Linked DNA regions of Oryctolagus cuniculus. The protein of the gene in region 1 interacts with the protein of each later gene in a biochemical or structural test. Links are inferred from orthologs where the notes say so. Each region holds a gene or a part of one and is shown in the gene's direction. Other genes may lie near its edges.

Region 1 (3,500 bases):
TAACAAGTAGAAAGCATTTATTTTAACAAAAAGATTAAGGTAACATTGAAATACGTCACTAAACAATACACCAGTCACTCAAACGTTAATATACTTTTACAGTGTAGTTTGCTATATTCGTATAGTTTCATATACTTTCCATATAATTTTATGCTTGAAAGTGTTTCTTCTTTTATGTCGTTTATAGCATCATTGCCGACAGTGTGGGAATATCTTCTGTGCTGAGTGTTCAGCCAAAAATGCCTTAACTCCTTCTTCCAAGAAGCCTGTTCGTGTCTGTGATGCATGTTTCAATGACTTGCAAGGATAATGGATTATCACAACTTCAGAGTAATAGTACACTAACAATAGATTTTTAATAAATATACTTAATAGAATTCATGGACTACTGTTTGATTGGGACAGTGGTTGCCACACTAGACCAAATTAGAATTCGTATATTTTGCAATGTTATCAATATCAAGTAAAAGTCTTCTATTTTTGTGAGACTTGGGCTCATCTTTCATTACTTTTTTTTCATTTAGCCACTAGAACAGCTTTCATGCTAAGTTTAAAATCAGCCAATGAAATGTAAATAAACTTTGAACAGAAAATAGCAATGTATTTTTTTAATATAATTTCATTGTTCATAATGGTGAATTCCATAGCTTGTTTTTCCCAGTTTTAATATACAGAAATATACATGAATGATGTTATCACTTATTGCTGTTTTTGTTGCACAACACATTAATCATATTAAATATTATCTTTGTGGAGTCATGCACAAAACTGTAATAATTTCTGGCTACCTTTTCCTCTTATACATAGGTTCACAGCTCAGTTATATTATGTAATAAATTTACTACTTGGGTGTTCTAAATATAGTTCATGTCAAAATCTGTATTAAACATGAATTTTAACTTGGTTTTTGTTTTTAACAATATTGATTAAATTCTCTGGTACATTTTATGAGAACCTCTGTAAAATTAATTTGTGTACTTTATGGTTATCCTGGGATTGTATTTTAAAGTTAGGGTTAATATTCTTTTTTCTTTTTGTATTTTTCTGTATCATTTTCTAACTCCCACATAGTGTCTATTTAAAATACTACAAAACTTCCTACCCTTACCCTCAGCTGCAGGATGAATATTAGACACTGTGTAATGGTCCTATTCTTGTTTGCTTGTAATTGGGGAGTTTTCTGAAACTAGCCTTCTTATCATACCCTTCTTTTTTCTCTCCATCATCTTTAGGAAAGTGAGTTTGCCTTTTTTAATGGATCTGTTTTCCCTTTTCTTGGCTTAATCTTTCCAAGCATAGCTCAGCTTCATTGTAATTGTTTCATATTTTCCACCTTAAAGCTAGTAATTAAATTGTAATAGTTGTATCTATGAAAACAAAATAAGAAATGGTAAGAAGATATTAAATATTCTGCTTTATATTTTCTTCTAAAAATTTTTAAAAAATTATACAATTGACTTAAGCTTAAAATCGTTCTGGGTTGGATTCCACATCAACTGGGAATACTTTTTTATATATAATGATATAAAAAATTACCTTGAAGTAACAGCTGGAGAATAGAGCTTCACCCAAAACATTTATATTTAAAAAAACTCAAAATTGCCATAAAGACTGAAACTGAATAGCTAAGCATCTTAAGAATAATTAAGGATCAGCCAACTTGAAGGCTAAACGATTTAACTGAGCATTAATTTATCATAATTTTGTTGATTTGAAAAAGTGGAAAACATTGAAGAATCATTAATATTTGTTTATTCATCGTCCAAGGAAAGATATGGAAAATTATACATTAATTTAATGCAATCATTTAATAACAATAGCCAAGGATGGGAGTTAATATGTCATTTACAATAGTTTATAATGTACACTTTCAAATATTGCTGAAATGAAATTATGTCTATGCTATATCTAGGATATATATAAACTAATGGAGATTGTCACATACTTATTTCATTATTTAAAAAACATTTTAAGTAAACCATGTTGTCAATAACTATTGACACTGATTAAGTTCCAGGATTTGGATAAACATATATTCTTGAGCATATATAATAAAGAAATACAGTGGCTCTTTATCAAAAATAATAGTTGGATAATATAACCTAAGATGTTTTATGCTTTTTGTATACTTATAGATCCTTTCAAATAGTCTTAATCCTATACTTTTACATTTATTTAATAAATTAAATGTATTAGAAAATCAAAGATACTCCCAGCACCACTGTATCGTTTTCTTTTTAAGATAAAACTTAACGAGAATTCTGGATTAGAATATCTGTTCTCATCTCCTAATTGGATACACTACAGGAATTTCCTGGTAATCCCCACCCCTCATTTTCATATACACACACACACAAATTGTGGACACACAAATAAAACCATGTGTGTTTGAGTGATTTTTTCTTGTTTTTTTTTTTTTTTATACAAGTAATCTGATTTCATATGTCCTGAATAATTTATGTACCTTAGGCTACTATACTGATCATACAAAAAATGAAACCTGATGTTTTCACTGTTAATTTTCTTTAATTTAATATGTTTTGGAAATAAAAATTAAGCCCCTCCCCCATTTTAATTAAGAAGTCCTCTTCTGAGTTATTGTTGGCTATATAGTTTAGATGTTTGTTGGTACTATTATTTTGTTGGTGAGTTAGAGCTGACACATATGGAATCCCAGCTCTTGGCTCTAATGTAAAACATATTGACATCACGTTAGTAAATTGCAAACTCCAGCACAGGAATGTGAGTTAAAACCAAGTCTTGCTTGGTAGTTAGAGTAAGATAAACCTACAGAATTTTTTAATAGAAAGAAGACAAAGCTGCTAGTATAGGACTTGCTCATTTTGAAGGAAAAAGGGAACAAACACAAAAACCTCAATGAAGTATACAAATAACATTTTGTTCAACTACCTCTTAATGTGGAGTTAGCCAGTTTAATAGTTTCTTTACAGTAATGTTAAATAGTAACTGCCAAATTTGTTGTTTTCCCATCCTTCAAAAAGTCTTTATGATTGTTTTATATAGTTCTGAGAATTTCAAAGCCACTTTTTTAACTTTGCATTTGCATAAAAATGTTTAGCTTTTAAGTGAAGAGCAAATTATGATCATATATTTTGATATTCATGACCTGTTTGACTAGCAATTTTTTTTTTGAAATGCACTTTGGCTATAAAACCATGGATGATTTGATCCATAGATTTAATAAATGTGCCATCAATTTAGTATTCCTGGACATGAGCTTGATGAATGGTATTCTGTAATTTTAATGTGCCACACATTATCATGTCTTAATTGCCCTTTGCCTGAATTTTAATGATCAATTTGTTATTGTTGCAGATGTGAATATTGTGCATAAACTTACTAAATTTATGTAAAATTGTATAAAATAGAATTGGGAATCACTAGGTCCTTTTTGTGTAGAAGTAAAGAATTTATTGTAAAGATGATACAGTTATGTATATGACATTCTGTACTTCCTTGAACTGGATCATATGTTCATA
Region 2 (4,094 bases), on another chromosome or scaffold:
GCCCGGCAGCCACTCCCTCACCATACCCCAGAGCCCTGTTGTCACCTCCAGCAAGGGCAGAGGAGCCAAGCAATCCACTTGGCACCACATTCACGCCACCAGGGGCCCCAGGGATGAGGAAGAGACCTTAATGAGTCACCACGGGCCTGTTATGTGCCCTCCTCCCCCCCTCACCAGATACACGTATGTGGGAGGGACAGAGTCCTGGCTCAGGCCTACCTCCAGCCTTGGCAAGGAGTGCCCAGGGGACTCCCTACCCTTCCTACCCAGGGAGGGGTTGCTGGGCTCCGTGCAGCAGGCGCTGGGAGAAGAGCTGGGCACCAGCCAAGCTCCTGGTGGGAATCTCACCCTGCCCCATGCCCCCTGCCCTCCCAAGCCCTCCCAGCTTTCACTTCTCTGATGGTGGCTGCCAGGAGGAGGGGAGCTGTGGATGTTCTAAAGAAAGAAGCACCTGCTAACCAGCTGCAGCCAGATGTGCAGCCAGATTCTGCAGCTCAGCCTCTAGGCTACGACGGGTGATGGCGGCTGTCACAGACAGATTCCATAGGGCTTTTGGGTAGCGTCCCTGAGGAGTGAGAGGAAGAAATAGGAGAGGTACTGGCTTGTGTTGGGAGGTGAGGGGCTGAGGAGGGGAAGGGGGGGCGGGGAGAATAAGGAGAAGTGGCCCTAAACCTGAGGGAGAGGCGTCGGAAATGTCTCAACCTACGTGGGGGTGGGGATTCCAGCTGAGGCAGCAGGTATCCAGCTCTGTATCTGCTTCCAGTCGGGTGTGGGGAGGGGTAGAGGGGCAGAGGTGGTTCTGTGTGTCTAGGGACCAGCCCAACGCAGGAGGGTTTATAAAGCGCCCCCTTCTATGTCACCTAGCATCCCAGAGCGCCTTCCCCATCACACAGTGCCCCCAACTTCAGGAAGCGTGGCCAGGGGCTGCTCCCAGTTAGCGAGTGCACGAGACCCACGCGGCCTCCCGTACGAACTCATTCACATCACGTTTGCCCCCTCCCCAGTTCTACACACACAGTCGTCTGCCCTCTCCCATCGCTCCGCAGCCATTCGCCTTCCCTCGGGGCTCCTGGAACCCGCAGTGACGCGATTAGCAGCCCAGGCCGGCTCCGCCTCGCCCCAGCCGGCTCCACCCTAAGGCCAAGTCCCAAGCAGGCGACGGCTCCGCCCAGTGCTGCGAACTACAAGTCCCGCCGTCCCTCGCTCGCTCTCTCCCGCCTCTCCCGCGACCCTCACCGGCACCGCCTATGGGTCGGCCAGGAGGGCCTCCCATTGGCTTCTCCGCCCTGTCAGTCACCTGGGAGTAAGAGGGGCGGGGCGGAGGTAGAGATCCGGATCCGGAGCGGCTGAAAGGCGGAAGTGGAGGCCGGAGCCTGGGACACCGCCGGGGGGGAGAGGAGCGAAACCTGTCCGAGCCCCGTCCCCAAGTAACGCCGCCGTCCCCGGAGCCGCTGTGAGTGTGCCTGTCCTGGGATCCAGTGTCTCTCCAGCCCAGTTGCCTTTGCGGGGCAGCCCTTCCTTCTGCCCAGCCCTATCTTAGGGGGATACTGACCCCTCCCCCGACCCGTAGCCCCTTCTTAAGGCGCTCCGCAGGCGTCAGGCCACAGGAAGATCCCTTCTTTCCTCGACTTACCTGCCCTTTGTGAACCTTGGGGAAACCCCTGCGGCTCTCCTCTGGCCTGTCCAGTCCAGTCGCGGCGGAGAGGGACCCTGAGTTCCGCTCTCCCTGCTCCCAGAATCGGCCGGTCTTTGCCAGGTGTGCAGGAACCTGCCCCTCTTCTCCCGTAGAGGTGGCGGGGAGGGCTGTCTGTCGCCGTGTCCCCCCCACCCCGGTCCCACAGAAGCAGTTGTCCCCCGCCAGCCCTGGAGAAGTCTTGTCTCGATTTCCTTTGGGGGAGGGTGGTCTGGGGGAGGCGACTCCACGCGCATAGAAGTGTGTGTGCTCCCACAACTCCCGACTCGTTCTCCCTCCTCCAGCCAGAGAGCCAGCCAGGACCTCAGCGGAGTCTGGGGCGCGGGGCACTCCTTGGGAACGAGCAGCCTTCTTGTTTTGTCCCCGCTGTCCCCCGGCCCTGTCCTCTTGAGTGTATCTCTCTTCCTGCCTCTGAAGAATTCAGCTGAGGTTTGCTCAATGCTAGGTCAGGGTGGCTCTGCCCATTCATTATCTTCTGGCTCCCCTACTCCTCCCCCTCGGCTCCAGGCTCAGCCCTGTCCTCCCGAGAGCACGTGAGCGGTTCCCCAAGCTGCCTCTGCGGGACTGCCTTGTCCGCTGGGCTGTAGAGGAGAGAATAAGCCCAGAGAAGTGAGGAGCTGGGGCTTGAAGGACCGTTTCTTTGCTGCTCCCAGACACACACACTCGACCGCCGCCCCAGCAACAGGTCCACCCTCACCGGGGCCTCGCCTCAGTCCCCGGGGCTTGGACGTACTACAGACCAATGAGTCGAGGGCACAGTGGCAGTCTTGGGTTCTTAGCTAATTTCTGTAGCAAGAGGAGTTCCCAAATCTGCTAGAAAGGGCTGCCCTCCCCTCCCCCCGGCTGTTTTGCCATAGGATCCTACTCTGTTGTTTAGGAACTGGGTGTGTGAAATGGCTGCTGTCTCAGACCAGGCTAGACCGTTCTGTTACGTGGCCAAAGTACAGGCCAGAGACTACCTTAATGAGGAGCAGCTTGCCTGAGGCCAGGACTGACCCTTGCTATCTGCAGGGGAGGAAGGGAGGAGAGCCCCACGCTGCCGGAATCGCCGGAGCTCCTGGTGTTCCTGGGCCGCCCTCACTGCCCTTGGCTGCTGCTTCCCAGTGTTAAAGGTGTTTCTGCTTTGAGATCTTTTTTGCTGCTCTGGACAGTTGCTAGTGTGTGGTCCCTACAGTCTTTTGAGCTCGGTCTTGAACGCACTTGTTTCACTTTTTATTGGACAACAAAGCAAAACTTCCTTATTGGGCTCAACAGCTGGATCACGAGCCCTGAGCCCGTGTGGGCTCCTTGGAGACTTTGTCCGCCCTCCTCATCGGACCTGGTGGGGCTGTGGGGCTGAGGGCAGGGCCGCTGGTTCTGACGGGGTGGGCCGTGGCTGGCGGAGCGCTGCAGCAGTGCAGGGATGAGGCCGAGCGGCCGTCCGAGGGGTTCTTCTTTGCGTTGCAGCTCTGACTCGGAAGCAGGCTTCGGGAAGAGCAGCTCCCTGTTCAGAACAGTGGGGAAGGCTGTACAGCTCTGGGTGGCTGTGTAGCCACTCTGGCCTCCAAAAATTAAAGCATCGTAACAGGACGAACCCTGCCTGGCAGAGGGAGGGCTCTGTGTGGGGCAGAAGCCCCTCCTCTCTAACATGTTCCCTCCTTCCCTGGGCCCGTCACAGCGAGCTGGCCTTTTTTCTGCTGCTATACTACAGGGTGATGGTAACTGCTAATTGCTTTAGGTCATTGCAGAGTTGCAGACTTCTTTTCACACACGTCCCTCACACGTTCCTTGGGAGGTAGTGAGATTTGCATTTCCACATTGGAGATGATGCCTAAGACCACGCGGTTAGGAGGTGATGGCGCTGAGGCTTGGGATCTGGGCTCAGATGTGACCTCGGCCTTCCCTAGTGACTGGCCCTTAAATGAATGAACAGGTAGGGTGAGCATCAGGGGCACAGTGCAGGCTCTGAGCCCCTGCACCATCCTTGTCCCTGGCGCTGCTCTGCTTCCCATCTCTTCCCCCATCTTCACCCCGGCCTCCTGGCCTCCTCCTTGGCCCCCTGTGCTCTGCCTGCAGGGGCCCTGACAGGAGTTGGTGCTCTGCAGGGCCCAAGTTCGCTGACATCTGACTGCCGTCAGTTTCCTGGGAACCTGCCGGCTGATGGTTGGAAAGTGAAAGTGAAAGCCACTGGGCTCGGGGGCCTCCTGGGCCCCAGTGAGGGCGGGAGGGCCTCCGGCTGCCCTGCAGTGCTGCCCGAGGTGACGCGCCTTCACTTGAATTTACTGGAAACAAGGAGGTCAGGAGTTCAAGTTCAGCCCTACCAAGCAAGTGCTTCTTAGAAGAGGCTTCTTCCTGTAACCCCTGCCCAGCACACACAGAGGCGGTGTGGTGGGATGGGGGGCACTAGGGCTTTGGAGTCAGC
Region 3 (4,083 bases), on another chromosome or scaffold:
TGTGGGTGCAGGGCCCAAGGACTTGTGCCCTCCCGGGACACAGCAGAGAGCTGGCCTGGAAGTGGAGCAACAGGGACAGAATCCGGCTCCCTGACCGGGACTAGAACCTGGTGTTCCGGCGCCACAGGCGGAGGATTAGCCTAGTAAACCACGGCGCCGGCCTCTTCCAGGTCTCTTAAAAGGGTGGCACCCTCCACTGCTTTGGGCCATCCTCCACTGCTTTTCCCAGGCCATTAGCAGGGTGCTGGATCAGAAATGGAGCAGCTGGGACACGAATCTGCACCCATATGGGATGCCAGGGATGCAGGTGGTGGCTTAACCCGCTACACCACACTGCCGTTCCCAAAGGATGAAATTTTGAAAGCTGGCGTTGAGGGGGCAGGTATTTGGTGCACAGGTTAAGATACCATTTGGGATACCCACATCCCATGTCTGGGTGCTTGCTTTGAGTCCTCATTACTCTGCTTCTGATGCAGCACCCTACTAATGCGCACCCTAGGGAGGCAGCAGATGATGGTCAGAGTGCCTGGGCAGACCCATACTGAGTTCCCAGCTCCGGGCTTTGACTTAGCCCAGCCCTGGCTGTGGCCAGTAATTGAGGAGTGAACCAGCAGATGGAGGATCTCTCTGTCACTCTTTGAGATAGAAAATAAAAATTTAAAAAGTCTTAAAAAAATTTCCCAGCTGAAATACCAGTGGATTATTTAGCTGGCTTACAGCAGCAACAGAGGAGGGCATATGAGGTGCGTGGAGCAGGGACAGGAACCCAGCGGCCACTCTCCCAAGTTGCAGCCTCTTCACCTGGTCTGCCCGCAACTCTGCATTTCTGGTTCCACGTCTGGCCCCAGCACGAACTGTCTCACGGAGAAGGCGGGTCCCCTCTCCCAAATGCCACTTGTGGAGGCAGGAAGAGACCAATGCTTCTAGAATCATCTTCAGTTACGTACAGAGAACTGAACCCGAGCTATGAAGCCGCAAAGCGAGGCCCAGGCGCTAGGAACTGCAGAAGGCGGCCGCACGGTCGCCCCTCTGCTCAGGCCCGACTGCTACCGGGGGGCACCACCGGGGCGGTTAGCGGCGGGACGCCCACTGCCCGGCGAGGGCCCCCGTCGGAAGGAAGCGGCCGGGCGAGCAGCAGCGTCCACTGCGCCCAGGTCTGCCCGCAGCCCGGCCCGTGCCTCCACCCCCTGGGGCGGGGCGGCGAGGGGCGGATGCCCAGGGGGCCCAGGAGGCCGTCCCAGCCGCCCAGCCGCTCCGCGGGCTCCCGGGAGGAGCCGGCCGGCGGCCACGTGACCGGCCGCGGCGCGGCGCGCGGCCCAGAAATAGCAGCGGCGGCGGTTCCGCCCGCGGGCTGGCGCGGGGGCCGAGCCGCGGGACGCAGGCTGGGCGGGCGCAGCGGCCCCGGCCCCGGACGATGCTGCTGAGCCCCCGGCCGACGCGGCCCCGAGCACATGATGGCGATACGCGAGCTCAAAGTGTGCCTTCTCGGGGTGAGTGCGCGCCCCCTCCGCCTGTCCCTGCCCCGCGCCCGCCTCCGAGCGCCCCCAGCCCCAGGCTTGTGCGCTCCCCGCGCCCCAGCGTGCGCCCCGAGCCGGAGCCGTCCCCGAGTTTTCTCCACTCGCTCCGCCTCGGCCCCGGCGCGTTCCCCGCCCGGAGCCGCTCGGGCCTCGCCGGGCTGCGGGCGGGCCGGGCAGGGGCGCCCGGGCTCCCTCGGCGGGGACTGGAGGCGCGGCGGCCCGGGAGAGCTTTCGTCTTCGTCTTTGATAATTTCCTTCCGCCCGCAAGTTTAAGTTCCTCAGCCCAGGCCCCCGTCTTCGTGTGCCTCCTGGAGCCGTTGGTTTATCAAACATAAATAAATAAATAAAAGCCGAGCCCTAGGTGAGCCATCTGAGGGTGGCCGGGCTGGAGGGGGCAGAAGGGACAGGGCTGGGGGTGCGGCGGCCTTTGGAGCTGGGGACAAGCAGCAGCAGGCGGAGAGAGGCCCCCATCACCACTTCCCCTCCTCAGCGGGCTGTGTCTTAACCCGAAGGAGTAGCCAGAAACGGGTGCGCAGCGCTCTGGCGGCCCTGGGGACTCGGGGATGTTTGAGGGTCCCTTCCATTTGGGGGCCACATCCAGTTCCAGAATTGCTGCTTTTAAAGGCAGGCCGTGTTTCCTGCAGACTTTGGCCTGGTGGCTTGGTGTGCCGCCCTTGCGGTTGGCCAAATCTGCCTCCCAAGAACTCCGTTTCCCTTAAAAGAGCAGTGGAAGGATTAGACCCCTTCTGACGGGCCTCAGAAGTGCTAAGCAGTCAGATGGGACGGAAGGACAGAGGTGTGTCCAGGTTAGGACTCTGTGGAACCAGACCGCGGGCGGCTCTGGGCTTCATCCAGGCCCTTCTGGAACCATCGGTGGGCAGAACTGTGTCCTCCCCAGCCCTACCCCCTGCCCGTGACTCACACTCACTGGATGGCGCTAGCCTCAGACTGCCTGAGACTTCCCAGCCCTCTGGACTTGGTCGGCAGCAGCCTGGACCTGGAAGGATGCCATTCGGGTCCCTCTTGCCTTTCAACGTGGCAGGAGGGGGCCTCCTGTCTTCTAGTCTGTCCAGAATGACCAGAGTCCATGCTTCCTTGGGAGGTTCGGGTATGTTGCGTCCCACATGACCGAGAGCACTTTGGATGCATGTGGGGTGTGTGTGTGTGTATGTGAGTGACACTTTATCCCTAATCATCTACTTAGGCGGCACAGGGCTTCTCCCGTCGTGTGACTTCATATTTTCAATCATTGTTTAGGGTCCAGCCTTCTATGTGGACATGGATCAGGTGGCAAAGGCCCTGTATCAGGAAGCAGGAAACCTGGGCTCTCATTCTTTCCCACCAACCAGCCGTGCAGTTTTGGACAAGAACTCAGCCGTCTCATCTGTAAAATGGACAGAATCACAGCTTGCCTTTTAAGGTGGAGGACTCTGCCAGATGATCCCTTAAGATCCATGGTGGCATTCTTGGTGATCTGTGATCCCAGGGTGACAGCAAGCTGTAGGAAAAGTTCTGTTTAGTTTGTTGTTGTTGTTGTTTGCATCTCCAAGAGCGAAACAGACTCTTTGGGCAGCTTCCTGGAGCCCAGTCTCACCTATGCTAACTGTTTGAGATGGCTCTGTTGGTAGGAAATTGAACTTGGAGGGGCAGAACATTGCTGATTGAGACAGGGAAGAGATTTCTGGGCAGAAAGTGGCTTGGGGACATCAGTGTGTGGCTCCTGCTTTTGAGGGTAGCTCTTGCAGTCTCATTGAGGTCAGAGGGTATCTTATTTGAAAGGGCGGCTGACCTGATAAACCACACTGAGTTGTCTTTGTTAAGTCCCGGTGGTTTGGCAGGTCTTTTCCTGGGCCAGATGCATGCTACAGGCTGTCCTTGGAGGTGCTCATTGGATAGGGCAGTTATCTGGCTGATGTCGCACTTGGGGACGTCAGGGCCCTTAACTGCTTTAGACGTACCCTGTTGGTGTGCAAGGCCGTGAGGGTCAGTGGATGGAAGAGGGCGTGCCAGGCTCCCCAGGGCCTGCACTCTTTGAGAGGGAGGTCTGGCTGCTCTGGGTGAAGTCTTGTGCATAGTTGCCACTCAGCTTCCTGTTTTTTAGCCAGGCCGCACCTCTTTGAGGCCGCACAGACCCTGGCAGCCACACCCTCCATTGCCCAGAGGGCCTCATACAGGGTCTGCTTGTCTCCTAGGAGAGCCTGGAGGGGTGATATCCTGTGTCTGACCATTTGCCCATTGATGGCTTGGGGACATGCCTCCCATTGAAGGTACGGCTGTTTGGGGCATTGGCAGTGCCAGCTGGTGACTTTGGCTCTAGCTGCCTGAGGTGGAGTGTCAGAAGGTTCTGTCTGCTGGTGATGACGTTGTTACCTGTTCCTGCGCTTTCACAACCCTGGCCGCTCGGCTGTTTTCTCGGCATGTTGGGCGTGTCTGCTCTTATTTCTCTTGGTGAGTGCTCCCAGATGGGGCTGACAGTGGCCTGTGGAACATTCCCTGGATGCTTTGTGCTCTGGGAAGACCAAGGGTTCAGGGGCGTTGGGTTTCTTTAGACTACCTGTTTGAAATT

The links.
Region 2: the proteins of EEA1 (region 1) and RAB5C form a complex in vitro, tested with the Homo sapiens proteins (2 studies listed by BioGRID and IntAct, with this or other methods). The link is inferred for Oryctolagus cuniculus from reciprocal best matches to the Homo sapiens genes EEA1 and RAB5C.
Region 3: the proteins of EEA1 (region 1) and RAB31 form a complex in vitro, tested with the Homo sapiens proteins (2 studies listed by BioGRID). The link is inferred for Oryctolagus cuniculus from reciprocal best matches to the Homo sapiens genes EEA1 and RAB31.

What each region holds. Positions count from the first base shown.
Region 1 is NC_091442.1:95,678,650-95,682,149, reverse strand, and holds part of EEA1 (early endosome antigen 1), read left to right. Parts: intron 1-187; coding exon 188-310; 3' UTR 311-3,500. UniProt on the Homo sapiens protein: Binds phospholipid vesicles containing phosphatidylinositol 3-phosphate and participates in endosomal trafficking.
Region 2 is NC_091448.1:20,642,926-20,647,019, forward strand, and holds the start of RAB5C (ras-related protein Rab-5C), read left to right. Parts: upstream 1-1,294; 5' UTR 1,295-1,453; intron 1,454-1,633; exon of another isoform or gene 1,634-2,369; intron 2,370-4,094. UniProt on the Homo sapiens protein: The small GTPases Rab are key regulators of intracellular membrane trafficking, from the formation of transport vesicles to their fusion with membranes.
Region 3 is NC_091441.1:66,884,570-66,888,652, forward strand, and holds the start of RAB31 (ras-related protein Rab-31), read left to right. Parts: upstream 1-1,283; 5' UTR 1,284-1,451; coding exon 1,452-1,490; intron 1,491-2,589; exon of another isoform or gene 2,590-2,604; coding exon of another isoform or gene 2,605-2,625; intron 2,626-4,083. UniProt on the Homo sapiens protein: The small GTPases Rab are key regulators of intracellular membrane trafficking, from the formation of transport vesicles to their fusion with membranes.